7 linked regions of the Canis lupus familiaris genome follow. The protein of the gene in region 1 interacts with the protein of each later gene in a pairwise test. Links are inferred from orthologs where the notes say so. Each region holds a gene or a part of one and is shown in the gene's direction. Other genes may lie near its edges. The genes, in order: USHBP1, TRIM54, SYNJ2BP, FAM107A, C15H1orf216, KLHL38 and DYDC1.

Region 1 (4,151 bases):
GAGCCTTGGAGCGATGGAACCTTTAAGAGGTTAATATGGCTGGAGCAGGGGCGCCTGGGTGGCTCAGTGGTTGAGCATCTGCCTTCAGCTCAGGTGGTGGTCCCAGGATGCTGGGATCAAGTTTCACATCAGGCTCTCCGCGGGGAGCCTACTTCTCCCTCCGCCTTGTTTCTGCCTCTGTGTCTCTCATGAATAAATAAATAAAATCTTTTTTTAAAAAAATGGCTGGAGCAGAGGCTAAGAGTGTAGATTTCAATGTGCCTGGGTGCCCCCAAGTCAGAGAATTGCAACTTATTTCCTTACCAGTTTTGGGGACGCAGAAGCAGGAAGACTCAGCCTCCTCTGTCTGTCAGCGGAATGAGGAAGATTCAGGCTACTCCAGGCTCTGCGCAGTTTAAACCAAGTGTAGGGGCACCTGGGAGGTTCAGTGGTTGAGCGGCTGCCTTCAGCTCAGGTCCTGATCCCGAGGGATCCTGGGATTGAGTCCTGCTTCGGGCTCCCGGCAGGGAGCCTGCTTCTCCCTCTGCCTATGTCTCTGCCTCTCTCTGTGTCTCTCATGAATAAATAAAATCTTTAAAAAATAATAAATAAAAAATAAGCCAAGTGCAGAAACAAGGAAAGGGTTACAGCATAACCAAAGGCCCTGGGATGTGAGAATTGTGAACCTTCACCTGTTCACAGAGGGGTCATCATGGCTAAAGCATGGAGTATACATGGGTGCAGACAGCAGGCATTATTTTTAAGGGCCTCGAATGCCGGGTAGAAGAGCTTGAAATGTTTCCCAAGGGCAATGGGGAGTCATGGAGGGTGTGTGAGCAGAAGAGGTGAACAATGAGGTCTCTGTCTCTGGGGCCTGGGAGGGGAAGGGAGTCAAGGGGTGGGTGGCTGTAGAGTCCACGGAGAGAGAGGGGCTGGCATCCCGGTAGAGGGGAGAGGGTTGGGCTGTTATGGAGGGAGATGACGAGGCCCTTTAGAGATGGATGCAGGAAAAATGGGCAGGATGTAGGGGCGATCTGTGCCCTGAGGAATCCAGGAGAAGCAGCAGCTGGCAGAGGAAGCAGAGATGGGAGGGCCGGAGAGGCAGCGAACAAGAGTGGTGTGTTACAATTCAGTTCTTGGATGGTGCTCAGTCATGTGCAAGTTGCTTGTTAAAATTCCCATGACACTGTAGACAGATCCTATAATTAAAGCCCCCCCCCCCCATTTTACAGATAAGGAAACTGAGGCTCAGAGGCGGAAGAGACATGAGATTGGAGGCTGGGGCAAGGAAGGACCGACAGGTCAGGAGCTGGACATGTGTGTCCCACCGGGACTGGAGGAAGCTGATGTCCTTGAGGAGGAAATAGCACAATAACAAGTCACATGACCAGGGGAGGGGGCTTCCTGTTTCCCGGCCTCTCCCAAGCCAGCCTTGGCCAGCCCGGGGCCTAAGCAAGCAGTGGCCAGAGCTACCCCAAGAGTGTCCAGGGATTTGGGCTGCTGACCAAGGTATTCCTAGAGGTACAGAGGAGTAGCATTAGAGCAGGCTGAGGGGACCCAACCCCAAGATTGGGGCCTCCGACTCAAGAGGACCCTGGGGAGGAGAGGTGATTCTTGAAGTCCTCGAGCCAGGTCCAGATTGGGGACCGAGGGGAGCACAGAGGTAGTGAAAGATAAAGGAGGCAAAAGACAAGGGGAGGTGGGAACAAACTTGTGAGGTAGTGAGCTGCCTGTCAGGAGGGGTATTCAAATGTGCCAGCTCAACACTGGTAATTCAAGATCCCTCCCAGCGGGAGGAGATCGATGCTCATTTCATAGAAGAAGGTATTAAGGCTGTCATTCGCCCAGACCAACAAAGACAAGAGCCGAGATCAGGCTGCGGCTTTCGGAAAAAGAATCAGAGGACTGAATTCTGGACAGCAATGAGTGCCCGGGCCACGCGACCCCGAAGCCGGCGAGGGAGGCACGCGCCACCTGTAAGTGCCCCCTTCCCTGCCGCATCCAGCTCTTTGGGGTCACTCACCCCCTCGCCCCCGGCCTGGCTCGGAGCTTGGCCCTGTGGGTCATTTTCAGGGGGAGCTGGATCCCGTGGCGGAGAGTTCAGAGGAGGCTGAGGCAGCCAGCGGGAGCTCTGAGCTGGGCCCTGTGCCATCTCAGGAGAGCTGCGAGCCGAGGCTGCAGGGGCCAGAGGCAGAGGCCAGTGGGCAGGGCCTTGGGAACAGGTAAGGTCCCCTCCGTCTGGGCTCCCACTCCGGCCCTGGTGTGTCTTTCCTCCCCACAGATCTACCTGTGTTCCTCCCTTGCTCACACACACGCCGTAGCTTCCCACTGCCCTCCTTGCCCAACTTTCAAGGCCCCGGATAATGCACCCTCTGTGAGCCAGCCACCCCAGATGACCCCATTTCCAGAACCTTCTGTCTCTCACTTCACCACAGGACCAACAAAGAGGCTGAGGGGGACTCTAGCAGAGGACTGGCCCCATCTCCCGAGGGACCCCGCAAGCCTGCAGAGGAAGGCCACCAGGCCAGAGATGTAGCTCCACAGGATGGGGAGACTGTCCCCCCCAGGCCTGAAGCCTCTGACGTGTTTCAGGTTCTCCAGCATGCTCTGAGCTCCCTGGAGGCGGCGGCGGCTGCCTGGCGCCGCCGGCCCCCCAGCTGTCCTGGGCCCGGGGAGGCAGAGGACAGAAGTGAGGTGGGACCAAGGCCCTGCTTGGAGCAGGAGGGGGCAAGTGGTTGCCAGAGGGAGGCAGCCAGCCTGGCAGAGAGGAATGACTGGCTACGATTGGCCTTGGGCAGCCGAGAGGAGGAGCTGATTCGCACGCAGGCCTCCCTGCAGGCCATCCAGGGGGAGAAGGAGATGCTGCAGAGAGAGGTGAGGGTCTCGACGTATTGTGCTCTACCTCTGAGGGTTCTCTGTCTAAGGGGGAGGCGGGCCTGGCATAGGCAACCTTCCATTGTTTGTTCATTAGAAAAACTCTTACGGAGGGACGCCTGGGTGGCTCAGTGGTTGACTTGAGTTGAGCCTTTGACTCAGGTCATGATCCCAGGGTCCTGAGATCGAGTCCCACATCAGGTTCCCCACAGGGAGCCTGCCTCTCTCTCTGTGTCTCCTCTGAATAAATAAATAAAATCTAAAAAAAGAAAGAGAAAAACTTTTATGGAGCGTTGACTGCTGCAGAGCCCTGAACAAAGGTGCCTTGCCTTCTTAGATAAGGTGGTCAGAGATGCCCCTTGAGGAGGTGACACTTGAGCCAGGAGGTAAGGGAGGAGCCATGCAAGGATCTGGGGAAAGAGCATGCCAGGCGGAGAAGGAGCTCCCTTCCAGAGGTGGGAGTGTGAGTCAGGGAACAGTGAGCAAGCCAGTGTGGGGGTGAGGGGAGGGCAGGTTAGTGATGGGGGCAGATTTACACGGTCTGTGGGCTTCTGGGAGTTGGGCTTTGGCCCTGAGCCTGGTGGGCTCCTGGGGGGTTCCCCCTCGCCCCCCCACCCTCGCCCTCCCGCGGCAGAAAGGGGCGGGACCTGGTGCCGCGGTCACAGGCGCCCTCTGGTAGGCATGGGAGGAACAGCCGGCGGATCCGCGAGGCACTGGTCCAGACACCAGATGGTGGAAACTGTGGAGGTGGCACAAAGTGGGCAGATTCTGGGTGGTGTCGAAGGTGGAGCTGGCAGGTTTGGGTGTGAAAGCCAGAGAAGGGTTGAGGACAAGTCCTGGTTTGGGGGCCTGCGGGACTGGGAGCCAGAAATGCAGGACCAGGAGCTGTTGGGACCCTAATGAGTTCAAGAAACCCCTGAGCCACCCATGTAGGACCATCAAAGACACAGTTGTGGGGTCAGAATCCAGAGCTCAGGGGAGATGTCAGGACAAGAGAAACACATCCCGACCTCTTTAACATGTGGATGGAATCTAAAGCCATGTGGCTGAAGGAGATGGGGGAACAGGCCCTCATCTTGGGCAGGCCAAGGTGGCAAGATATGGGGCCACCAGAGCCCAGCCTAAGGGGTGGGGCCCACTTCCTGGCTGGGAAAGATGATCCCCGCTCCACATTCCTCTCCTCACCCCCACCCACATTCCTCTCCTCACCCCCACTGCCTCTGGCACCCACCACTCTGTTCTCTATAACTGTGAGTTCAATTTTTCGTTTTGTTTTATCTTAGATCCCAAATATAAGT
Region 2 (4,440 bases), on another chromosome or scaffold:
AGAGCTACTCATCAGCTAACCCTCCTTTGTTGCAACACTGCACCAAGAACTTTTAGCATCAGCCTCATTCCTATAACCAGCACACCTTTCTGGGGCTGGTCTCACTTCTCCTGGTGCCCATGCACTTGATGTTGTCAGCCTCATTCTATGCCACCATGACTCAGCTCAGGCAAATTATGAATGCATTTGAGGTGTAGAGGTAGTTATCTCACCTTTGGATTCTGTCTGGACTCCACCACAGCACAACACTCCTCACCATGGGTCCTGTGGGCTGACCAAAGTTCATACATCAGTGGTTGCTTGCCTCCATCCTTTTTACCACATCTTATGCAGGCTTATCACCATATATGTTGTTCTTAAAATGGGCATGAAACATTTTATAGGGAAAAGATACTACTTTTACAGACCCTTTCCCCACTCGTGCCTCTTCATATTGCCTGTTTGGTAACCTCTCCACACCATTTATTTCCCATCCACCCAAGGTCAGAACTGAGTAACTCCTCAAACTTCTCTCTCCTGACTGGGAGAGGGACTAAGAAATGTCAGTAAATAAACGATCTTTTTTGTCCAACCCAATGCATTTGTTGGACCTCAAAAAGACGAATCATGCCTGGGATAGAGCAAAAGGCCCATGGGAGAAAAAGACAGAGGGTGGGTGCCCCTATCTGAGACCAGCCTGCTTTGGAAAGGAGGAGTCCAGAACAACTATAGAGTTGGGGCAGAGGCTTCCTGGAGCCTTGTGATTATGACTTTGTCAGTGCTCTAAAATTTCCCTGGAGACCAATTCCCCTGGTGCCCAAAATAGGTTCCTGGCACTCGGGTCCTTTCTGCTCAGCTCAACTTCTCTTGATTTCCCAACAAATTTAAAGTCCTTGGAGTTGCTCCAGTGATGTGTTCATGGACCAGATTCCCACACTTTCTCAGAGGCATGCTCATGAGGTCGTTCCAGGCCCTGGGGCAGCTGCCAGCTCTAGCGCCCTTAGCTTCTTTTCCTAGGGTGATACAAGAAAGTTCTAGGCAAGAACAAGAATGGACCGGAAGTTTTGGACCAGAGTCTTTCCCTCTAGTGTCTGATGCCCCTGTTTTGAATCACAGGGTTCAGCGGAACAGGGTGAGGATCACAGGTTGAGCCTTGGAGGTCCTGACTAGGTTTTGAGATCTCTCCTTCCACCCTGAGCCATGTATGGTTCTCATCCAGGCCATTTTAGATTCTGCATTGTTGCCCTAGAAGAAGAGCCCACACCAGAGCATGGGGGTCAGGGGCTCACCAGAGCCTACTGAGCGTGAGAGCTTGACATCTTTGCAGACCCACCTTTCACCATAAGAGTGGAGCTCACTCCTGCTCTTATGAGAGTCACCCATTCCTGAGTGAGTCAGGGTCACTCACTTGGTGACAGCTGTGGCTCGCCTTACATGAGCTAAATTGGGAGTTGGAATGTCATGCAGATGCCCCTTGTTCCCCACCCCCATGTTAAAATTAATCTCCTCTCTGGGAAGTGAGGGACAAACAGTACTGCCCATAGAGTGAACAAGAATCATTTGGGAAACAAAAGGAGAAATTTTCAGGGACAGAATCATTCAGGAAGGGAGGGACAGATAAAGCTACATGTGCCTGGCTGGGGTACAGAGCAAGGAATAAAGAGAAGTATCTGAAAACAGCTATCTGAAGACGAGGTGAATTGTTGGAGGAAGGGACAGGAGAGATAGCAGACCTATTTCAAGAGTGAGCAGTAGAAGGGACCATAAGAATCTACGGGCTGTCTAAAGTAAACGAGGAAGGGTCCAGGGGCAGTGAGGGAAGGCCAGGACTAGGGCCAAGGCCAGGGCAGGCATAATCGCTGAGGGGATGAACTTCACAGTGGGTTTCAAGCCGCTGCTAGGGGATGCACATAGCATGGACAACCTGGAGAAGCAGCTCATTTGCCCCATCTGCCTGGAGATGTTCTCCAAACCGGTGGTGATCCTGCCCTGCCAGCACAACCTGTGCCGAAAGTGTGCCAACGATGTCTTCCAGGTGGGCCAGGGATCGGGGGAGGGCAGGGCCAGGTAAAGCAGTGTAGATTTGTGGGAGACTTCTCATCAGGTCAGAGCTGAGACCAGAAGGTGATGGGGCAGAGTACTCTATGAAGTGGGTGGTGTCTGTCCTGGCGGAAGAGCAGAAGATTCGGGGTCCTAGTAGATCCCAAAGTAAGCATGAGTCAGCAACTGCTCTGCAGGCTGGCAAGGACAGCCTATGCATGCCTGGACAGCAGCTGGAAAGCTGGTATCTGCAGAAGAGAGAAGACCCCCATAGAAACTAGAAACTGGGAGGGAGGTGGTCCTACCCTAAGCTGCTTAACAATCTGTACTGGACTCTCTATTCCAGTCTAGAGTTTCAGATTTTGAGAATGATATGGAAGATTTGGAGAAAATATCAATGAGATAATGAAACATTAAAAAATAAGCCCTATGAGCACAGTCCATGATGAAAGTATTTGTATTTGAGGCCAAGCTTAACACATCCATCTTTTGGGGCAGAGTGGGAGTGGGTAGGAGATTGGGAATTCTCCCCAACTAAAGTTCACACTTGTGCCCCACTCCAGATTGGTCAATAAAGGGGCCTGCTGGTTAAAAAGCATTGTGGTCACTTAAGTAGAGAGAATGTAGAGAAATGCAACCAGCTTTGGTTTATGTGCGGTCATGGGGCAAAGCATAGCTAATCAAATTCACAGATGTCATTTTAGCTACTGGTTTCAAAAAGAAATGCAGCATATACCAGAATGGTTTATAAATGGATTTTCTATTTTGACCTCTGCCACTGGAAGAAAGATCAGAGAAAGTAAGGGGAAAAGTTGCATACACATACACACACACACACACACACCCCTTGCAAATGAAGTAAAATATCTGAATAAACCAGAGCTAGCTAGCTTAGTAGGCAGGGCAGTGTTAAGGAACATCACTAACACATATTCTTCACCTGTATCAGAATTCAGGGAGAAATGTGTTGAACGCAAATGATTTTAAAGTTAACCAAGAAAATGCTTCTTTTTTTTTTTTTTTTTTTTTTTTTTTTTTGTTCTTTGGGGCAGCATGTTTGGGAAAAAATAATGGGCTGGCTAAGTCAGGCTGTCCCATAGCTGTGCCCTGTGACCTATCCTTGGCAGTCTGCCATCTTCCTGTTGAAGCCCATTCCCATCTCCTATTCTTCTGTGTCTTAGCCTGCCGTTACATTGTTTGGCTCCAGAATATCTCAGAGCCAAGGATTTTCCCTCTCTGGGAAGGGCTGACTGCTCTGTCTGCTTATCCTGGACATCAAGTCATGTACTAGAGGCTTCGCCTTGCCCACTATTTTAGTTTTCCTCAGGCTAAGTACATTTCTGAACATCCTTCAGTCAGATGCCTAGGAGGGAATGGCAACAAGGTTTTGCCATCACTTTTCATGAATTTGTAGTGAAACATCTTTCCATTAGATCTGGAAATACATGAAAGCAAAGAGAAGTTTTGAAAGTGAAGGTAATCTGTCCTATTAAAAAAAAAAAAAGCCACCAGAGTATCAAAGTACGAAGCATATAGTATCATCGGGCAGAGGGTCCCAGGGAAAAGCTCTCTGTATGGAGGCTACAGAATGTTTAAGTGGCCTCCCTTGTTCTAGTCAGTGCTCTATATCCAGGTGCACCATTTTGGTGCCTTAAAGCTCTGAAATACTGATTGGACCCAGAGAGAACTGAGACTGGGCTGAACCCTATGCAGAATGTTTGGGAAACAACATGGTTCCCAGAACTTTGAGATGGTTCTGTGGATCTGGACTGATATGTCTCTTTTAAAGTGCAGAGCACCCCTGGGCATCCCCCACCAAGGAGAAGAGTGAACAGCTCATTTCCTTGCTCTGCTTTATTTGGGGCAGCCTGGTGGGAGGCTGACCCAGTTCTTTGGCTGCACTTATGTATATACATCTCAGTAGTTCTCCCTCTGAAAGATGAGCATATTTAGTTTTTTCACACATTGCCTCCACATTTTGACAACTGTAGGCATAATCAGATTGTCTGTTTTCTAAGTATGGGAACAAGAATAAGACTTTTGGTAACTCTATCTTAAAACCACTTAGGAAGAATACCCTGAGAACATTGCCTAGAAAGTTAATAGAACTTATAAAAGTTACAGTGTCACACACACACACACACACTTTAAAAAATAGTATAGGAGTTTATAGCATGAAAAATGACTACCTCAGGCTCTCACTTCCCTTCTCCAAATAGAGGTAGCCATTTCCAATTTTCTTGGGTACCCTCCCAGAGATTTTCCATGGATAGGTCCACCTATGTTTGTGTGTTTAAATTACACTCATTGTCCTAAATCTGCTTTTGTTCACTTACTCTTTCTGTAGTTGTTCCATCTGCACACATTCAGATCCGCATTTTCATTTTAAAATGGCTGCAGAAGTGTGCCTGGGTGGCTCAG
Region 3 (4,014 bases), on another chromosome or scaffold:
GGTTGTTTTCACTGGTCATAGAAAAGGAAAAAGTAAATTTGGTGGTTTAGTCCTATCATGAAGCCTCAGTTGCCTTTCTAGTTCCCAGGATTCCTGCCAACACCTACACTCAAAATAGAAAAATAAATTAAACTCCTAAGACCATTTTTTTCCAAAACACCTCCATATGCAAACTGTCCTGAATGTTGGGAGAAGGGAACTATGAAGGGGAAACTTTGATTAGGAAACTCTCTTCCACTAAATTAAAGATAGTTCATTTGCTTCTTATGAACTCACCCTGTTACATTAATAGCAGGAAAGTCAAGAATTGGGTCCTTTAAATGCCACCAGCAGAATCAGAATTGAATATGAACAGAAGTACATCTTACAAGAATCACTGTTATTCTTTTACTGAGTTTAGAATATAGATCTTTCTTTTTATACTAAACAGACTATGTTGATCTCTGTGTTTGTATTTTTAATCTTGCCTGGCCTAAGTGGGCAACTCTGGGTACTCTTGACCTCTGTTGATGATCCTCTTCACTAACCTTGCCTGTGTCTATTGACCAGTTACATCACAGTTTGACTCACCAGCCTCCCCTCCTCACTAGGCCTCTCCTCTTTCTCTTTCTTCTCTAATCCCTTTCTACTTCATCACTATCTCCTTCACAACTCCTCCATGATTTTCTCAGGGCTGGGCTTCAACATCGTCGGTGGGACAGATCAGCAGTATGTCTCCAACGACAGTGGCATCTACGTCAGCCGCATCAAAGAGAATGGGGCTGCGGCCCTGGATGGGCGGCTCCAGGAGGGTGATAAGATCCTCTCGGTGAGAACTGGCTTCGGCCTCCTTCACTGTTTCTTGCTCCCTAGACCCCAGTTCTTACCCTTAGCCCTTTCCTTGGGAAGATTTCTGCCTGCCTTTTTGGATCTGGAAATATCTGGATTGTAGAATATGGTGGGAGGGACCTTGATCAGTCACCTTTTCCTGCCCAAACATAGAGCAAAGAGGATAATTCCTTACTTGATAGACAAGGCATCTTCAGTCCAGAATGTGAAGCTACTTTAACCAAGTTCAAAAAACAGGGAATAGGAAAGGTTGAGGGGCTGATGTAGGGGAAAGAGACTTAAAACCCACAATTGTCCTTTTTCAGTTATACTTTATCACCTCCCTTTCATTGAAAGATTAATGTGTGTCTTCCTTTACTCCAAAGAAACAAAAAAGGAAGGTAGAAATTAAGCTTCCTTTTTAGACTCAAATCCCTTCTCACCCGTCATGAAGATGAAAAATTTGAATGCATTCTCATTTGGGTATCTGTCCATTGTGCTCCCATTTCATTCAGCTAATGTTTGTAATAAGACACTTACTATATGGTGAGCTTTGATTTGATTCTTTTCTAAAAGTTTCTCAAGGGCAGGGACTAGATCTTTTTTTTAACCTTTTACATCCTTGCAATGCTCAATATATATTTAACAAATGAACAAGTTAAGAAATTCAGGCAAGCCCAGAAAGATTGGCTGATCCAGAATATAAATATAGTATTTTGGATAGTAATAGCCTATTTTTGTCCTTCTCACCAGCTATTTTGCCTCTTTTCAGACCATTAACCTTCTCCTAGATCCTGTTTATTAATTTGAAAGATACAAACAGTGATAAATACCTTTTATCTCAAAATGATACTGTGAGGTTTACAAGTAGATTATTTCATATTAGCTCCCTGGAGAAAGACCTCCTAAAAACATGAAATCAACTTGAGTGGAACATTAAGGAAAATTTAAGAGTGGGTTGTTAATGGTATAGCATGTAGGCAGAAATTATGCAGTTCATAGTGACATATAACACATTCTCTCCAGAATACTGGGGCCTGGGTTACATTTGAAAAGTATAGGGGTTCAGAGGACAGCCATATTATTCAAAAAGGTTTGGTAAAGGGTAGATTATATGAGAATGGTTAGAAGTTTTTGAGCACCATATGCTAAGCAATATGCTGAGAACTTTACGTTTGTTTAATATTGTGGTAACCCTATGAGGTGAGTACAATTATTATAACTACTTTGCTGCTAAGGAAGCTGAGTCTTGGTGAGGTCAAACAGCTTGCCCAAGGTCACACAACTGGTAGGTGGCAGAGGACTAAAACTGATCTGTCTGAATTTGGAGCCCCTACTCTTAATCAGTATGCTGTACTGCCTCCTAAGAAGTAAATGAGGAGCTAGGACTAGGTATCTAAACAGAAGGTTGTATGGTTAATTAATAGATATTTTGTATGGTTTTATATAAAAACAAATCAGTCTTTAAGGGTATAATTGGAGGGAAAAGGTCATTTAGCTCAGTATGAGAGAATTTATTAAACATAAGCTAAGATGAGCAGCCTTTCTTATGTGGACCATTGCCTCATAGAGAAAAGAAATTATTGGAAGGCACTCAAGTTTTTTTTTTTTTTTTTTAGAGAGTATGGTAGGAGATGGATGTCCATGGAGCAAAAAGTAAATGTCAAAAAAACTGCTCTCTTCACCTTGAAATTTACACCAAACAGGATTTTACTTTATTAAAGTAAAACAAATATGAGAAATATTACAAAGACCTATACAATATATTAAATATTACAAATATATATAGGACATATAACAAGGAATGATTCAAGTTTATGTTTTGGACAATTAAGATATGGGAAAGAAGAGAGGGAGGAAATGCCTGACAAAAGTTGTAAAACAGATAGGAAGAGAAAGAAAGAAGACTGAAGAGAAAAAGATGGAGCATATACAAGAGGAGAAGGCCAGCATATTCTCTTCTTTCTTTCTTTCTAGGGCTATCTTATTTATGACTCCAGTCTCCCTATCAAGAGTTTGCTCCAACATAATTCTTTCTAGATCCTTTTCCTAAGAAATACTGCCTCTCTCACCTTCTCACTGTCTTTTCCACTCTCTCCTTAAGTGAACTCATTGGGCATTAACCATTAAATGGTTATGTCTCCTTTGTAACTCACTCTCCCTCTGATTTAACTAAGTGCTCTAATACTGGCTGTGGAGTCTCTGTAAAATGATGGTGCTGAACTGTTTATTAGCTTATATTCTCCTTGATTCTTTATGGGTTTTTCTGTTCTCTTCACATAGGCTATTTTTCCATGTTGTAAAATATGCCCCAGCTCTTTCTTTTAACTTTTGCTAGATAATCAAACTAAGAATATGTTACTTCCTTGGCACATCCATTTTGGATAACTAATACAAATCTTATTTAGTGATCTAGATTTCCTAGAGTTAGTATTGACTAATAAATTAATCTTTCCATTTCTCTTGAAATAATGCCCGTGTTTTGTCTTAATTTCAAGTAAAACTAAATAATTGCATGACTTATGCAATTCCCTCTTGCTCATTAAAAGTTAAATTACATTTTTTTGTGACCTCTGTGGAATGTTTAAACTTAAAAAAATGGGAGGGGGAGGAAGAAAAGAAATTCCTTTAACATAAATTATTTTTAAGGCCCTATTGCATCTGACAACCATAAAACAAAAACAGGTATTACTAATAGAAGGACCTGAAGTTGAGATGAGGGCTGGAGATGGAGATTCCTCACCCAGAGTTTATTTTGTATGTGATGGTTAGGGCAATTTAATATTTGTATAGGTTACAAGGGAAAGATTTTATTTTTGAGGGGAAAAAAATGTAAACTGCTTAGGTTTGTCATTTCCGTTGTGTGCCTGCCTAAATGATGGGAGGTGGATAGTTAAGAACAGTCCATGCTCAGTGAATGCTGCATTTTTATGAAGTTCAGGGTGATATGAGCTAATTATTACACTGAATAGATGAATATTCCCTTTTGACCAAACCCTTTATATAACAAAATGGCACAGATCAGGCCACTAGTCAGCCACATTTCATGTTTTCATCAAGTGTAATTCTTAACTTGGTGAATGAAAGAGCTGAGTAGTCCTCAGCATTTATAGCTGTTATACTTGACAGCCTGCAGAGCACCATGCCAGGTGCTCTGGAATGATTTGAAAAATGAAACACTCACCTTCACACATAGCTTAGAAATCA
Region 4 (4,505 bases), about 14 Mb from region 1:
GAACAGAGAGCCTCGGAGGCTACTTTGCATAGAGGGTCAGGGCAGGCTTCTTTGAGGAGGTGATCCTTGAGCCTAATGGATAAAAAGGAAAGAATTGCACGAGATTTAAAAATGTAGTCAAGGGAGAGAGATGGAAAACCTTCCCAGCAGAGAGAACAGCATGTGCAAAGGTGCTGGGGTGAGGAGGAGGGTGGTATGATCCAGGAATTGTCAGGCAGAGAGGGGAATGGGAAATGAGGTCTGAGAGGCCAGCAAGACTTCATGGAACAGAACTGTGTTGGACCATGGGGAATTTGATTCTATGGGCAAAGGTGGATCTAGAATACTTGATCCTGACCCTTCACTACCAACTGCCATTTCATAATCCTTTGTACAATAAGTCCTCACCACCCCGGAGCCAGGCATTGTGCTAGACAGAGGAAAGACAGGGCTGCAAGTTTTCCCTGGCCCAGCCATCTCTTAAGAAAGGCTGTTCTGCTTAATCAAACTGGTTACCTGGGACTTGCCAATGGGCAGTGGTTTTATCACGAGTGGCATTAACAGCATTATAACAAGCAGCACCTAACTTCTCTGGAAAATTCCTATTCTCCAAATCCTCTGCCCAGAGCTTTACACAAGTCACCTCATTTCATCCTCAGGGCCCCATGGGGTCAGGGGCCATCGTTACCCCTCTTCCGTCAAGGGGGAGAGTGTAAAACAGAGAATAACATCATCTGATTTATGCTTTAAGAGAACAATGGCTCTGGCTGTGCACACCGACTTCTTTCAGCCATCAGAGCAACCCTGTGCTGTGTGATTATAGGAGCACACACACGAAGAAACGGAGGCTCCCAGAGGTCAAATCATGCCCCCCACCCCCACCCCCACCCCCTGGGTCATACAACAGTGAGGAAAGAGTTGGGTTTCAAGCCCAGGCTGGTTCGGGCCTTAACCTCCTCGCTCCATGCTGTTGATAATAATGAAGGAGGGTAGCAAGTAAGGAGGAGGGTAACTGCTGGGGGAACTTTGAGAACTTGGCCCAGGGCCCGGAATCCAGCCTCCAGATAGTCTCCTGGCCTAAGCCCAGACCAGCCCTCCCCAGCTGGGCTACTGTCCTGTTGAATGAAGTACTCTGCTCTCAGTGTCTCCGCTCCACGAGAGCCCTTGCCCCCAAGTGTCTTCAAAGATCTACTATTAATGGGGCTGCTGCCCAGCCCGAGGTTTACATCCCCACACAAGCCAAGCCTGCCCTGAGCCCCATACCCCAGCTAGTCCACACAGCCTCCACTGTCTGGGGCCTGTCTGCTGATCGGTGCCCAGCCTGGCAAGAAGGCCAAGTCCTGCCTGCTGGGCCAGCCAGAGGTCACCCGCTGTACTCAAGCTGCCGGCCGCATGGTGAGAGGACGGCTTTGCTTCTCACCTCCCCACGGATGCCTCAGTCTCCCCTCCTGAGAGAGGCAGGGGTGCAGGAAGTGAGGAGCTACAGGGACCACAGGACGTGTGGGCCCTCTGGGGACACCATACCCCTCTGACAGGATCAATCACCCTAAGCCTGTCTGAGGAGCTCTGGGCTTAGGAGCAGCTGTGAAAGCCTCCTTTGTGCCTGAGAAGAATGAGCCACGAGAGGACGGGGGACCCTGGCCCAGGGAACCCCTTGGGCCCCAGCTCCTGAGATCAGCATCGGCAGGGAGGACCCCAGCCGGGCCCCCCAAGGCCCACCCAGGCCTGGTGCCCGCTTTGTGCCATGGGAGCAGTCCATGGGAAGAAGGTAAGAGCCCCCGAGGGTCCTGCTGGGTCCCTGAACATGGGGAGGGAGACTGCACCTACCGGGTGGGAGCCCCCATCTACCTACCTGCCAGCTCCATGGGCCTGAGCCAGGCACTGCCCACCAGCCTCCCTCCCTGAGCTCACAGCCAAGATTTGCATCTAGAAACCTAGCTGGGGCTTAGGACAAAGCCTTCGGATCTCTCCACCCCTGGAACAGACCTGGACTGCCCAACCTCACAGGCTCTCTGGTCTTAGACACACACCTCTCTACTTCCCTGCATACAGGCTCCGTGGCCGCACCTTCCCCGTGTGCCAGGGAGCACCGGTGGGCAAGTTACTGACGCTTCCTGTAAGTCATTTCCCCATCTGTAAAATGGGGACAATAGTCACTACCTCAGAGGCTTATAGTGAGAATTAACTGAACAAAAATATATGTAAAGTGTTTCAAACAGTGCCTGGCACATAGTGAGCTATATATAAGCTATGTTCTGTTATTAGAGTTCTCTTCACATTTTTATGCATCACCTTCTATGTCTGGGCTCTCAGTTGGAGATTTGTAGACAGAGCCTATGCAGTGTTTCTGAAAATGTGGTCTATAGAGACCCTGTGTCTGCATTAGAGATGGGGCATGGGAGGGGGCTTGCTCCACAGTCTCCTTCTTAGGGCTCACCCACACTTCCTGGATCAGGGGAAGGGGAGGCAGGGCTCCCCAGGGATTCTTATACACGCACTCAGTCCACATCACCAGGACTGTGACCCCAGCGGTAAGGTCAGGCTGCCTGGGCCCTAGCTCCTCCACCTGCCTTATAAGGAACTGAACCCCCCTGGATCTCTGGATCTCAGCTCCTCACCTGTAAAGTAGGGCTGGTCCTCACCCCTTGGGAGGGGCCACGAGAGGATGCTATAAAGTATGTAGCATGCAGCCTGTCACCCAGACAACCCTAATAAACGGGGGCTCTAACCCTCAAACAACTATGGTTCTGCATGACTCTAAATTTTCTGCCAACCGAGCCCAACCCACATTTTTCAAATTTAAAGTAAAACACATCATTGGCAGTCCCCATGGAACAAGCTTTCTGGGCCTCAGTTTCCTCATCTGGAAAATGAGCATTGGGTTAGATAACCCCTGGGGCCGCCTTGCACCAGCCTCTGCTCCCAACCTCCTTTGTTTCGGGTGCAAGTCAGGCCTGGAAACTCCTGCCTCCCCTCAGCACCCCCAGCAGCAGTATCCTAGAAGGTTGTTGTCCTGGGGCTGTCCCTTCTCCATCCCGCCATGCTCATGGGAGCCCCCAGTTGCTGTTGTGGGTCACCTGCTGTTCTTGTGTCTTCTCTGATACAGCCCAGAGCTGCCTTCCCAGCAGAGCTTTGCACCCTGGCCCCACCCAGCCCCCTTCAGGAACATTCTTCCAGCTTCTCCCCTCTCCCAAGGGAGAATGAGCTCAGCCTCTAGATCCTACCTGTGCAGGTGCAGTCACCTTGGAGAACGGCTTCTTCCCAGGCCTGGAAAAGACCCCGACAAGGTCTAGCCTAGGAACAGCAATTACAGCTCACAGACTGCCTCTCTCTCTCCTCTCACCGGTGACAAACTTCACGAATCGGTCCCTACACCCTTTCCCACGAAGTCCAGATGACCTCAGAATCTTCCTCAGCACAGCATCCCGATCAGAACTAGCCCCCAGACTGAAAAGCAGGCATGTGCTGGGCCCAGGCCCTCCTCCTGCCCCCAGGGAGAGGCTGCCCCCCAGGGAGAGGCCGCAGAGGGTGAATGGGAACACGGGCTCTGAGGTCAGACACACCTGAGTCAGTTCTTCCAAATACCCGGGGACCGTGGACAAGACAGGACCTCAGGTTCCAACCCCATAGACTAAAGATAATAATCCTTCTCACACTGTTGTAAAATCTAAATGACACCATGCCTGGGGATGAAGTAGATCCTTAGTCAACGTTCGTCTCCCTCTGGGTTTGATCCTCTCCTACCTGCGTCCTTGTCAGCTCTTCACACCCTCCCTTTGATCCACCAGGGGCATTAACATCACACCCATGGCAGATGAAGAAGCTGAGTCATGAGCCAATGTGACTTCCCACAGCCAGCCAGTGGCTGAGCCAGCCTGGAGCAGAGGCTATGAGCCGGCCCAGGCCAGGCCTGCTGTGGGGCTCCCCCGTCTGTGGACCACCCCCCAGCCCTCCCCCACACATGCCTCCTGCTCTGTTTCTGGAGGCAGTAACCCAGCTGGCCTCTGCAGGATGTCTGTGACACGCCTGGGCCGTTTGAGGTCTAGCACCCACTGGCCTGTGCTATAAAGGTCACGGAGCTGTCCTGGGGGGCTTCTCGGACCCCCTTCCCACACTCATGGCTTAACCATAGCTATAAAATCAGTTCTGGAAAACCCCTGGCAAAGTGGTCCAATCCCTTCCCCATTGTACAGCTGGGAAGACCGAGGCCCAAGGGCGGAAAGACTTGCCAGGGCCACGCAGCCAGGGTCAGACCATTTCCACAAGGCCCAGCAGCTCCAGGCCAAACTCTGGAAGCACACGGGAAGGCAGTCGGTCTCCTTCCCCTGCACCGTGAAGGGCGGGCATAGAGGACTCCTGCCCACGTGTACACAACTGTCTGCCCCATCTTCATCTGCCCCCACCCCAGCCGCCCGATAACAAACCTTAACCAGGTAGGTACCTCTGCTGGGAGCTGGGCCAAGGAGGGAAAGGCATCCCTGCCCTCACACCAACTCCCACCCACCTCAGACACCAGGTGATAATCC
Region 5 (3,350 bases), on another chromosome or scaffold:
AAGATGAGGTCCTGGGCAGACAATCTGCCTCAGGGGGCTGAGAAGAGCCTCTGCTGGAGATGGAGCCAACAGAGAGAGGGGAGGGGAGGAGAGCCACAAGGGGAGGTGTTGTCAGAGGGAAAGGGACTGAAGTGGAGCCTCTGGCCCCCACCCGCGGCCTTGCCCCCGCACCCCGGCAGCGAGGTTGCCACGACTTGGGGCACCCCATTCCCCACCCCCGACCCAGTCCTACTCTAACTCATTCTCCTGCTTCCCCTTTGCAGACCAGATGTTTGCCATCCGGCCAGGGGTAGCCGAGGGGGCCCAGTTCCTTGGGGCCCCGCCTGGAGGATGTCAGCCTGAGCTCCAGCCAGACAGCAACTTGAACTTCTTGGCGAGTGCCAAAGACGCCAATGAGAATTGGCATGGGATGCCAGGCCAAGGGGAGCCCGTGCTGATGAGGAGCTCTTCCAAGCTGCCCTCTGACAACCAGGCCTTCCAGGCCCCTGGACTTGCCGAGGGGGAGGTGCGCAGCCCACCAGAAGGGGAGGAGATCCCTAGGGCCAAGCTCGAGAAGATGAGTGGGGCCAGCACCGTCTGCTCCCCCCTGGAGGACAATGGCTACGCCAGCAGCTCCCTGAGCACCAGCAGCCGAGGCAGCAGTCCTGAGCCCGCTTGCGGCACCCCTCGGGGCCCGGGCCCTCAGGATCCCCTTCTGCCCTCCGTGGCCCAGGCGGTGCGGCAGCTGCAGGCTCAGGAGCGCTACAAAGAGCAGGAGAAGGAGAAGCACCACGTGCACTTGGTGATGTACCGTCGCCTGGCCCTGCTGCAGTGGATCCGCGGCCTGCAGCACCAGCTGGTTGACCAGCAGACCCGTCTGCAGGAGAGCTTCGACACCATCCTAGACAACCGGAAGGAGCTCATCCGCTGCCTCCAACAGAGGGTGGCCCCATCCGGGCCCCAGGATCAGGGCTAAGGGTGTGCCTCCACAGGGGGGCAGGGGTACATGGATATATTTGCAGGCATGTGTGGGGTTGCGCACAAGTAAGTACATAATCCTTGGCTGGCGTGAGTGCAGGTAAGCAAAAGTGAGGACGTATGTGCTAACGTGCAGCCAGGCCTGTGTGAATCAGCACCTGTGTACCGTGTGTCCACAAAGCCAGCTTAGGTGCAGGCCTACTTGTGAATGCATACACATGTGTTTACAGCACACGTGTAGGAAGGCGTGAGTGTGTATATGTAGGCGTGAACAGGTATGCTTGTGCATATGTGTACGTGAGCGAGGATATATATGCAAAAGGTGTGTGTGCAGATGAGTGAGTTTGAGTGTGTGGGCTTGTGGTGGGTGTATGTGAAAGTGCCTTTGCGTGTGCAGGGCCAGGCCCAGGAAGTGTGTAGTTGGAGCATGTGTGTTTGCAGGCCAACTCCTAAGCAAGTATCTACAGATCCGTACTCAGTTGCTTCTCTGGGGCCTCCCCACCCTGTGTTTCCCATCGCCAACCCCAGCCTTCTTTTCTCCACAGGGTCCCATCGGTCCAGAGGAGGGGCGCCTGCAGTCATATGTGCGGGTGTGGATGACCCAGGCCCCTGAGGTTTCCCAGGCCACCCCCTGCTCTCTCCCTCTGACTTTGCTCTACTAGGGCCATTGTCCCCCGATAGTAGAGTCGCTGTGGGAGGTGTGGGGGCTGCTCCGGCCTGCCACGGCTTTTTGGCCACAGTTTTGGCAACTGGTAGAGACTTAGAATGAGGGAGGGGCGCTGGGGGTGGTGATGGCCACTGGGGCAGGGACGGGGGGATGGGGATCAGAGAAGATAAAGGACTGTCCCCCTTGGACTCTGCCTCAGGGCACGGGGGAGATGGGGGGGGGAGATGGGGAGGGGAGATGACAGCCGCAGACCCTGTGAGGACTAGGAGAATGCGGATTCTAAACTACCACCTGGAGACAAACCAGCTTCTCCATGTTCTCCACGTCCAAGGAGCTGTTGCAGGTCATATAGATTGAAGCTTCTGATAAGAGCGAATGTGCTGACGCGCCTGCGAGGGCCGGACAAGGTGTTCCAAGACTGCCGGGGAAGGAAAGCTCCCTTTCGTCTCTGTGCCTCTACTTGCTGTCCCCCTCCGGCTTTAGCGTCGCGGGAAGTCAGATTCGGTTGGCCTGTTTTCCTGCGGTCGGGCTGCCTGGGCCCAGAGGAGCCGTGGTCAGCCTTCCAGGGCGCACAGGGGGGCCAGCAGCGCAGCCCCTGGAAACTCTCAGGATACTGGGTCATCACCCTTCGGTCACTGCATGGCCCTTTCAGCGGGGGTTGACAGGTTCCCATGAAACGGAGAGTGGGTGAATTCTGGGGACAACCAAGGACTAAAGCAGCCGGGGGCTCTGCTTTGCTTTTGGGAGCCATGAGGAAGCAGGATCCTGGTAGATGAGCAGAGGCATGATGCTGAGTCTCCCTGTCTGCAAAATGCGGGTACTCTTCCTGCCTCTCAGGAGTTCTATCCCTGACAGGTGTGGGGGGGGTGAAGGGTATTGGGACTGAGGCTGAAGCAATGGTCCTGGGGACTTCTGTGTCTCACCCTTGCATGTTGAACCTGGTCTCTGGGCCAAGCCAGGGTGAATAAACTGGGGCAGCGAAATGCATTTCTTGAGTTTGTGTCTCTGTTGCACCCAGTGCCTGGTGGCCCCTTTTCGACACCATCTGAATTGCCCTTATAAGCAGGGTTCTGGGCTGGGAGCGAGGAGACCGATGGAGGGGGGAGTCACCGGGGAGGAGGAATCCAGCCTGCTGTGGCTGATGGGGGTGGCAAAGAGTTTCTCCTCAGAGGCCTCTCAGTCTGACGGAGGAGACTTGGCCTCAGCCTGACAGCACCTTATGGGATTACCCTTGTCCTAAGGCACCTTTGGGCCTGAAGATAGGGGGCGGTAGGCATCGATGGTGAGGGATACATATGCTCCCTCCCTCCCCACCACACTCCTACTCAACCCTGCCCTAGAGCCACCACTTCCCTGAAGGGTGCCCTGACTGCAAAAGACTGAGTTAGGCTCCTCAGATGGTTCTGACAGATGGGGTTAGGTACATGCATATGATTTCCGAGACTCACTGTGCCAATCTAGACCCGACCTTCTGTCTTACATTGGTTTGTATGATGATTTATTAATTAGCTTCTCAAAAATTCATCTGTATAAAGTATCTCTTGCTGCATAACAAATTACCCCACAACTTAGGGACGTAAAATAATACACATTTGTTATCTCACAATTTCTGTAGGAATCTCTCATAAGGCTGCAGCCAAAGAGTCAGCCCAGGGTCTGGGGTCTTATTTGTTGGAGCATTCAGTTCTCCAAGGGAAGTCACTTTCAGTTCCTTGCCACATGGGTT
Region 6 (3,618 bases), on another chromosome or scaffold:
ACCTACTTCATAGGATGGTTGTGAAGATAAATCTGGCAAAATGATAAAAAATAAGAGCCTTTCCTATGGTAGCAATTATATTTAATATAGAAAGAATTGTCACTTACTTCGGTAAATAAATGTTTTGCTCCTTCTTTTATGAAATCCATCCTGAATCTCTTGTAGTAAATTTTGCTAGTAGTGAACTAATTTACATTTGATATTTAAACTTTATTTACACTGAAGGGAACATGTTCTGGGAATCATGATTTGTGACTCTATTTCAGAACGTGGCCAAGGAGCCCTGCCCCACCTCTTTGCTCTTTCTCTCTTTTCTCATGCTTCCTCTATGATTCTAATGACTTTCAGGCATGAACTATTCAAAAGCCTTCCTCACTTAGCCCCAAATGTATTCTTGGCTCTAAGGCCCTCCCTGATACACTGGAACATTTAGAAATTTAAACATGAGCTGGAAATAGAAATGATTGAAAAATCATTGGTTTTATGAATACCCGAGCTGCTCCATTTCCCGAAAGAAAAAAAAATGTTCCAAGCAAGGTAAGTAAACACATATTACAATGCATAACTCTCGGTCCATTCTATAGAGACATAGCCAAGGATCTCATGGGGTCACATAAAGACCAATTTTTAGTGATATGTACTTTCTGCTATTTTATTTTATTTTATTGATAATAATTTACCTACCTACATTTTAAAAAGTCAAAAGAAAAAGAGTCAGTCTTATTTCACTCTCTTTAATAGTACTTCATCTTTTTAAAAATACATATCACTTTACAATGTAGCGCCATGATTATATTTCTCCCTCAGGTTTATCACATTTCCAGAAACACATGGTTCAAAATGGAGACGAGAATGATCAAGAATGTGTGTGCCCCCGCAGTGGTGCTCGGGGAGAGGATTGTTATCGTAGGAGGTGAGTTTGAACAGAGGATCTCTAGGCTGGACACAAACTTGGCATCTCCCATGGAAAAAGGGTCACCAGTAGACAGATGTTGTTCTACGAAACAGTGTTTTTAAAAGCACAACCATCCAACTAGGGGAGTGTGGATGACTTGACAAAGTTCTTTTCTCATCCAGAAGTTTCTCCCTGTCTTTATCTGTAAACAAAGAATGAAATAATACCGATTTCACGGAATTGTTGTGATAATAAAATGTGCTCATATATCTGAAGCACTTAGCACTATCCCAGATACATGGCAAATACTCAAAAAATGTTTGCTACTGCTAATAATATTAGCCACTAATAGATCATTTCTCTGCGATTACAGTATAGTGTCTCGGCTAAGAGAACTGGTTGTAGGGTCAGGTTCAAATCCTGATTCTTTCCCTGGCTATATACTCTCGGGCAAGTTATTCATCTTTTCCTGTGCCTCCGTTTGCACATCTGGAAAATGGGGATCCTAAAAGTGTGGGCCAGATAGGGCTATTGTGGGAGCCATTCCTGAATTCCCAAGGCTCCTTCTATGGATTTTTAAGTCTGGGGCGGGGGGGGTGGGGAGGGAGCATGTGAGAGAGTTGAAAAAGCCAATGAGACAGAGGAAGCTGCTGGAATCAGGAAGCTCCTCCCAAACTAATGCTGCCTTAACTTGAGATGAAGCATTCAGGGACCAGAAGCTGACAGATCTGAGTCTAAACCCCAGCTTTGCCACCTGCTAGATCTTGGGCAGGTTCCAGAACATTCTACACCTTAGTTCAGAGTTATGACCCTCAGAGTCCAGCCTTGGTATTGGGAAATGGCAGAGATCAGACATGTTTGCAGACCACAGATTTCCAGTCCCAAGTGAACAATGCTGAGCTTGCCGATATGCCATTGGTTTTCAGGTTACACAAGGAGGATTCTTGCTTATGACCCTCAGTCTAACAAATTTGTCAAGTGCGCGGACATGAAGGACCGGAGGATGCATCACGGGGCCACGGTGATGGAGAACAAGCTGTATGTGACCGGGGGCCGGCGGCTGACCACAGACTGCAACATCGAGGACTTGGCCTCCTTTGACTGCTATGACCCCGAGACAGACACCTGGACGTCCCAGGGACAGTTGCCTCACAAACTCTTTGACCACGCCTGCCTCACTCTGCAGTGCATACCCCATATCCACACCTCCCCATGAAGCTTCCAGAAACCAAGGGTCTTTGTCAAGATCCTTTCTGTTGCAAGAGATGGAAGCCCAACTCCAAGGAGCTCAACCCCACAAGGATGCAGGGAGTGCCCACAGGACTGGAAATCCCAGAGCCCAGAAGCCTGAAAGCAGGCATATTGTTGGCAGAACTCTTCACACCCCCACCTTCTCTCCCCCTCTCTCCCCACTTTCCCTCCTTCTCTACCTCATCTCTGTCAGACGTCATGCTACAAGCAAGCTGCTGTATCCACAAAGTATGAAGACAATGGCAACTGCTAATCCTAGACTCACATTTTCTAACGTTGCCTTTTCACAAGGCAAGAACTTTACCGTTTTCCATGTATTAACCCTGAAAATAATCCCAACTGGCCATTTCTTAATTCCCTGCCTTCCTCTTGAGCCAATCATTGTTTCCAGGGCTTGTGCTGCTATAACTGTGTAATCCCGGATCACATCCCTACAGGCAGAGGTTGACTGTCACCATTGACAGCTCATCCAAACAGCACAGAGGAGATAGATGCAGCTTCCCAAAGGAAGAACTGCTGGCCTGACCCAAACCACATCTGCCCAGGTCATCATGGAAATCCAGAACAAAAGGGTCCCTGGAAGCACATGGTCCAGGTGGCAATGTGGAAAATTGGCCATGACTGTGTTTCTTTGCATTCTATGGATGCAGTAAATTGGAATTTCGGGAAAAAGTGTGCAATGCAGTATCTAGCGTTTGCAAAATTATCTATGTGGCCAGAATAAAGTTTGTTTCTGGTGCCAAATGATGTTTTTCTCCAGCCTCTGGGGAGCTATAAACCTGCAGAATTAATCAGGATTTTCATTTTGGTAAATGTTATGAGAATCGCTCTTCTGAGGAAAGCCAACAAATTCCTCCAGGGATTCCAGCAATTATTGCCCTCTCCAAACCAGGGCTGAATATCGATCCCCATGGCCCCCTTGGTCTCAAAGTGCCTCCCAAGCTGGCTCCTGACCCAAGTTCAGAATAAACCAAAGATGGTGACACATCACCATCACCTGAGAAGGTGTTTGAAAATGGGGCCAAGCCCCCTTCCAGATGGACAGACAGGGATTCTCAGAGGTGGGCCCAGGCCATTGTAACATACAGTCAAGATTAAGAACCATTTCCCGGCTCAACCATATGAAACCTTCGTGTGTTGACCCCCTTCCCAACGTGTTCCAGCCAGCCCTGTGTCACAGCCTGTCACAGCACAGCAGCACAGGCAAAGTCTTCTCCCCAGCAATGGAAGCATCTGGAATGGGTCTCACTGCCGTGAACCTAGAACCAGAGTGCTCCTCAAGCTGGAGCCTTCCTCCCTGCCCTGATCTCCAGGTTCACCTTCTGGATTTTTCCTTTCTTCCTAAATTGTTTTTTTTGCACTTTAGTTCCTCCTCCTGGGGTCTGAAACTTTGCCCCACTCCCCAGACCACTTGGCTATGGTCCAGACCCCCTGCTCAGCCCCGTCTCCTCATCCTGGATGCCGTCACCTTA
Region 7 (4,471 bases), on another chromosome or scaffold:
AACCGCCCTTCCCAGGGAGCGGAATCCCCACTCTGCCACAAGCCTCTCCACTTTCCAGCCCCTGAGCGCCTGCTCTCCTGTGTAGGCCGCAAATCCTTTCTGGAGGAAGCATCTGCTCTAAATTGCACGTTTTCAACCATGGTCTCCATGAATTTTGGAGCCTGACGGTTTACTAAAACTTGATGCAAAGACAAGAGAGCCAGAATGACAGAGCCACAGCTCAGGGCCAGGAGAGGGAGGGGCCAAAGAGGTGCCTTTTGCAGCCCTCTCTCCACAAACTGAAGGGCACATTTAGCAGAGGAGAGGGGCCTAGTTTTCCTAGAGCTCCTCTGGGAGTCCTTCACACGCCCTCCCTGTTCACCGCCTAGCAACCCAGGAGGCAGGCTGGGAAGCACAGAGGTGGCCTTGCCACACCACACTCCCAGGGCTAGGCGCACGGTGGGTGCTCGCAAGTATTTTTTGACTTAATCTCCGAAGGCTCTGGCTTGCTGGCCAGGGCAAGAGCCTCCGCTCCTTCCCAGCTGTCAGCGCCCACTCTGGTACTCCTGGCCTTAACCGCCGGGGCTGAGGCCGCTCCTGCCCAGCACCGCCCAACACAGATTAATCCAGAACCTGGGAAATGCTAGCAGAGGGTTGTCCACAAAACACTAGGTCAGGGAAGACCTGCTGCGGTGGAGGCGGGGCCTTCTGGAGGCAGAAGCACCTGTGCTGGTCCCAAGAGGGGCCAGGCGGGGTCACCAGCAACCGCAAAGGTGCGGAGCCGGCAGGGGGCCATGGGACTTTCCCAGCCTGGGTGGGCAGGCGCCCTCTGCGGCCTGTCCCACGACCCCGCCGCCCCGGCCCTCCCAGTGCACACGGGCCTGCCCGCCTCTGGCTCCGTCCTCCCAGCCTGCAGGTCTCAGGCTCGGCTCCATCCTCCCAGCCTGCAGGTCGCAAGCTCAGCTCCGTCCTCCCTCCCGCAGGTTGCAGGCTCCGTCCTCCCAGCCCGCAGGTCTCAGGCTCGGCTCCATCCTCCCAGTCTGCACGTCGCAAGCTCAGCTCCGTCCTCCCTGCCCACCGGCTCCGTTCTATCCTCCCAGCCCGCAGGTTCTAGGCCCTGCTCCATCCTCCCAGCCCGCAGGCCGCAGGCCCTGCTCCGTCCTCTCTCCCGCAGGTGGCAGGTTCGGTCCTCCCTGCCCGCAGGTCGCAGGCCCCGCTCCGTCCTCCCTCCCGCAGGTCGCAGGCCCCGCCACACCCGCGCCCGGTCCTCCCCGCCGCCCGCCCGCCCCCCGCGCCCCTACCGCGTGCAGGGAGCCACCTGGGTCCGGGGCGCGCGCTCGTTGCCTAGCGACGGGACGCGCCTCGCGGGGCCGGTAGGTGCGCGCGTCGGGTGTGCGCATGCCCAGCGCGGACGCCCAGCGCCCCGCCCCGCGGCGGGTGCTTGGGGGGGCCCGCGGCAGCCGCGGGTGCGGCCTCGGCCTGGTGAGCGGGGAGGGGCCCCGGCGGCGCCCGGGCTGCCCGGCTGAGAGGTTAGTGCCGCGCCCTGGCAGCGCCGCCGCCTCCGGGCCCGCCCCGCCCGGTCCTCCGGGGCCACGCAGGGCGGAGGGGGAGGGGACGCGGAAGGCCCGAGACCCCTCTGCAGACCCAGGATGGGGAAACCATGCAGGCTCCCCAGGTCGGAGGGTGCCAGGTAAAGCCCGGCACAGGTGAGCTCCAGGTAGACGACGAACCAGCTGGCTTATGCTGCCCTGTGCTAAGCGTTACTCCCTGTTTCTCCAAAATTCATATTGACCCGGGCATCCTATATATATATATAGGATATAATGTATATATATTAGATTTTATTTATTTATTCATGAGATTGACACAGGCAGAGACACAGGCCGAGGGAGAAGTAGGCTCCCCGAGGAACGTCTGATGCGGGACTCGATCCCGCGACCCCAGGGTCACGCCCTGAGCCGAAGGCGGGTGCTCCACCACTGAGCCACCCAGGGGTCCCATCCGTATTATTTTGTGCCGCATCGGGCAACTCCACCCGAACCCCCTCCCCTCCCGCCAGGCTGGGCGGCCCCCCCCCGCTTGGGCAAGGGACCTCTTTGTATCTCTTGTTCGGCCTCTCCAGGCTTGAGGGAGCCGTGTCTCTGCGAAAGGCCTTTCTTACCTGGAGCCGAGATGAGATGCCTGTTAGTGTGTCTGAAAAATAACAACCTGTGAGTTGGGTTTTATCACCATTTCGTGGACAGGAAACCAGGGAAGCCAAGTAAGGAGCTTCCTGGGCTCTGCTATCCCGTGCCCAGGAGGATTCGGGATCAGATTCTACTCCTAGCCCAGAAGTTTCTCCCTTGGGGACATGGTCCCTTTCCCGAGTATTATCCTTCTGGAACAGCAGCACGAATCTGTTCTTTCTTTTATGTTTCAAGTGACATTGAGATGTCACTGTCGTCATTTTTGTCTTTTTGAGTGTGTCGCGTCGAAGAAGCACAGTGAGGATGCTGCGTCTCACACTCGCTGATACTGTAATTCTTCTCTCCGTGTGGTGAAGACACCAACGCCAGCTTGAAAGGGAATTCGGTTCATTCGTGCCAGTTTGCAGAGCTTAAGTTTTTATGACCACGTTTATGGGCACACATACACACATTCCTTTCCCCACTGCTTTCAACAAAAGAGGTGGCTTACTCTATAAACAATTTCTGCACCTTTTTAATTCACTTTGCACCGTGTCCTAGAGATCACTCCCTATTTTAAAGATCTTCCTCGTGCCTTTTATATGATATATATGCACCGTCATCCATCGTGTTGCTGTGTCTCATCAGTCCCTTAATGATGAGCTTTTGGATGAGGCTCCAGTTTGACTGTTCTAAGTAATGGAGCAAAATAACCACATGCACATATCATCGCTCCATATTTTTGCAAGTTAAGATCCGACAAGTGAGATCAATGGTTTAAAGGGTAAATACTTACGTAATTTTCTAGATACTGCCAAATTCCTCTGCGCAGGGGTTATACCATTTTGTACCCTCACCATCGTCAAATGAGAGAGAGCACTTTGGGGATTGAAGGATGAACCTCAGGAGGTTGTTGTTTCTGAAATTTTATGCAGAACATTTGGTGCATTTGTCCAGGGACAGGCCTAGACATGCTGGCATTCTGTTCTCTCATGTTCAGCTCATACCTGACCAATGATGCGTATAGTATATATTTACTGAATGATGAAGACATTTCATTAGATTCTTAGAAGTGACTGGTTTCCATAAGGGTAATTTGAGAGTGATAGTTTTTTTTCAAAGCACCGGAAGTACAGTGTTTGCTATATTCTTTCCTCCCTGCCTCCTTCCTTCTTTCCTTCCTTCCCTCCCTCCTTCCTTCTTTTCCTTCCTTCCTTCCTTCCTTCCTTCCTTCCTTCCTTCCTTCCTTCCTTCCTTCCTTCTTTCCCTCTTTCCCTCCCTCCCTCTCCTTCCTTATTTCCCTCCTTCCCTCCCTCCTTCCCTCCCTTCCTCTCCTTCCTTCTTTCCTTCCTTCCCTCCCTCTCTCCTTCCTTCCTTCCTTCCTTCCTTCCTTCCTTCCTTCCTTCCTTCCTTCCTTCCTTCCTTCCTTCCTTCCTGTCTGGTCTAAGATTGTTCCTGTCCACCTTCATAACTGCATAGACTGGGACATTACTGGGAGGATGGAGGAAGTCATTCACGTGCCTCCACGGAGAGCCAGCACGCCTGCCCTGTGATTAAAACACACTCCTTGAGGAGCTGGAGGAGCTTGTCTTCTAGCAGGAGGACAGACATGTGTGTACACACACGATCTCGGCGTGCATGACAAGTGCTGTGTGAGTCGCTTGGAGAAGGTGGGGCTTCTTTGCGTTGCTTGGGAAAGTCCAGGGAATGAGAGAGGGCCAGCATCTTGCAGGCGAGGAGATGTTTCCTCAGCTGGGAGATAGAGAGAAAGCGTTATGGGCAGAAGTCTTGGAGATGGCGGTGTGCAAGGCGTGGCTGTCAGGATGGCAGACTGCTGAGGGTTGTCAGAGCCCAGGATATGCTGGCGGCAGGGGAGAGGTCTGGGGTGAGCCTGAGAAGAAATTGGGGCCAGGGGATCCCTGGGTGGCTCAGCGGTTTAGCACCTGCCTTTGGCCTAGGGTGTGATCCTGGAGTCCTGGGATCGAGTCCCACGTCGGGCTCCTGGCATGAGCCTGCCTCTCCCTCTGCCTGTGTCTCTGCCTCTCTCTCTCTGTGTGTCTATCATGAATAAATAAATAAAGTCTTAAAAGAAAAAAAAGAAATTGGGGCCAAAGTGTGAGGAGCTTCATATGCTATTCCTCGAAGGTTGAATTTTTTTGTTTACTTTTTTGTCCTTGGAGATTCATGGACTTTTGGGGTTTTTTGTTTGTTTGTTTTTATTTTTGAGGTAGAGTATTATGATATTATGGGTATTATGATTTTCTAAAACTACCCTCGTGGCTTGGGAGGAACATCTGGGTCACAAAGATTATGACTCTGGAATCAAG

What was found.
Region 2: the proteins of USHBP1 (region 1) and TRIM54 interact in binary tests that used the Homo sapiens proteins (3 or more experiments, as listed by UniProt). The two-hybrid records come from large-scale screens. The link is inferred for Canis lupus familiaris from reciprocal best matches to the Homo sapiens genes USHBP1 and TRIM54.
Region 3: the proteins of USHBP1 (region 1) and SYNJ2BP interact in binary tests that used the Homo sapiens proteins (3 or more experiments, as listed by UniProt). The two-hybrid records come from large-scale screens. The link is inferred for Canis lupus familiaris from reciprocal best matches to the Homo sapiens genes USHBP1 and SYNJ2BP.
Region 4: the proteins of USHBP1 (region 1) and FAM107A interact in binary tests that used the Homo sapiens proteins (3 or more experiments, as listed by UniProt). The two-hybrid records come from large-scale screens. The link is inferred for Canis lupus familiaris from reciprocal best matches to the Homo sapiens genes USHBP1 and FAM107A.
Region 5: the proteins of USHBP1 (region 1) and C15H1orf216 interact in binary tests that used the Homo sapiens proteins (3 or more experiments, as listed by UniProt). The two-hybrid records come from large-scale screens. The link is inferred for Canis lupus familiaris from reciprocal best matches to the Homo sapiens genes USHBP1 and C1orf216.
Region 6: the proteins of USHBP1 (region 1) and KLHL38 interact in binary tests that used the Homo sapiens proteins (3 or more experiments, as listed by UniProt). The two-hybrid records come from large-scale screens. The link is inferred for Canis lupus familiaris from reciprocal best matches to the Homo sapiens genes USHBP1 and KLHL38.
Region 7: the proteins of USHBP1 (region 1) and DYDC1 interact in binary tests that used the Homo sapiens proteins (3 or more experiments, as listed by UniProt). The two-hybrid records come from large-scale screens. The link is inferred for Canis lupus familiaris from reciprocal best matches to the Homo sapiens genes USHBP1 and DYDC1.

The regions. Positions count from the first base shown.
Region 1 is NC_049241.1:45,884,201-45,888,351, forward strand, and holds the start of USHBP1 (Usher syndrome type-1C protein-binding protein 1), read left to right. Parts: upstream 1-1,351; 5' UTR 1,352-1,488; intron 1,489-1,769; exon of another isoform or gene 1,770-1,827; 5' UTR 1,828-1,901; coding exon 1,902-1,955; intron 1,956-2,052; coding exon 2,053-2,201; intron 2,202-2,414; coding exon 2,415-2,853; intron 2,854-4,151.
Region 2 is NC_049238.1:21,321,877-21,326,316, forward strand, and holds the start of TRIM54 (tripartite motif-containing protein 54), read left to right. Parts: upstream 1-1,482; 5' UTR 1,483-1,846; coding exon 1,847-2,014; intron 2,015-4,440. UniProt on the Homo sapiens protein: May bind and stabilize microtubules during myotubes formation.
Region 3 is NC_049229.1:44,326,634-44,330,647, reverse strand, and holds part of SYNJ2BP (synaptojanin-2-binding protein), read left to right. Parts: intron 1-671; coding exon 672-808; intron 809-4,014. UniProt on the Homo sapiens protein: Regulates endocytosis of activin type 2 receptor kinases through the Ral/RALBP1-dependent pathway and may be involved in suppression of activin-induced signal transduction.
Region 4 is NC_049241.1:32,298,298-32,302,802, forward strand, and holds the start of FAM107A (actin-associated protein FAM107A), read left to right. Parts: upstream 1-1,386; 5' UTR 1,387-1,723; coding exon 1,724-1,747; intron 1,748-4,505. UniProt on the Homo sapiens protein: Stress-inducible actin-binding protein that plays a role in synaptic and cognitive functions by modulating actin filamentous (F-actin) dynamics. Mediates polymerization of globular actin to F-actin. Also binds to, stabilizes and bundles F-actin.
Region 5 is NC_049236.1:6,517,702-6,521,051, forward strand, and holds the end of C15H1orf216 (UPF0500 protein C1orf216 homolog), read left to right. Parts: intron 1-263; 5' UTR 264-268; coding exon 269-955; 3' UTR 956-2,611; downstream 2,612-3,350.
Region 6 is NC_049234.1:22,342,369-22,345,986, reverse strand, and holds the end of KLHL38 (kelch-like protein 38), read left to right. Parts: intron 1-807; coding exon 808-913; intron 914-1,821; coding exon 1,822-2,111; 3' UTR 2,112-2,890; downstream 2,891-3,618.
Region 7 is NC_049225.1:30,231,173-30,235,643, reverse strand, and holds the start of DYDC1 (DPY30 domain-containing protein 1), read left to right. Parts: upstream 1-1,336; 5' UTR 1,337-1,352; exon of another isoform or gene 1,353-1,508; intron 1,509-1,533; exon of another isoform or gene 1,534-1,685; intron 1,686-3,655; exon of another isoform or gene 3,656-3,796; intron 3,797-4,471. UniProt on the Homo sapiens protein: Functions as part of axonemal radial spoke complexes that play an important part in the motility of sperm and cilia. Plays a crucial role during acrosome biogenesis.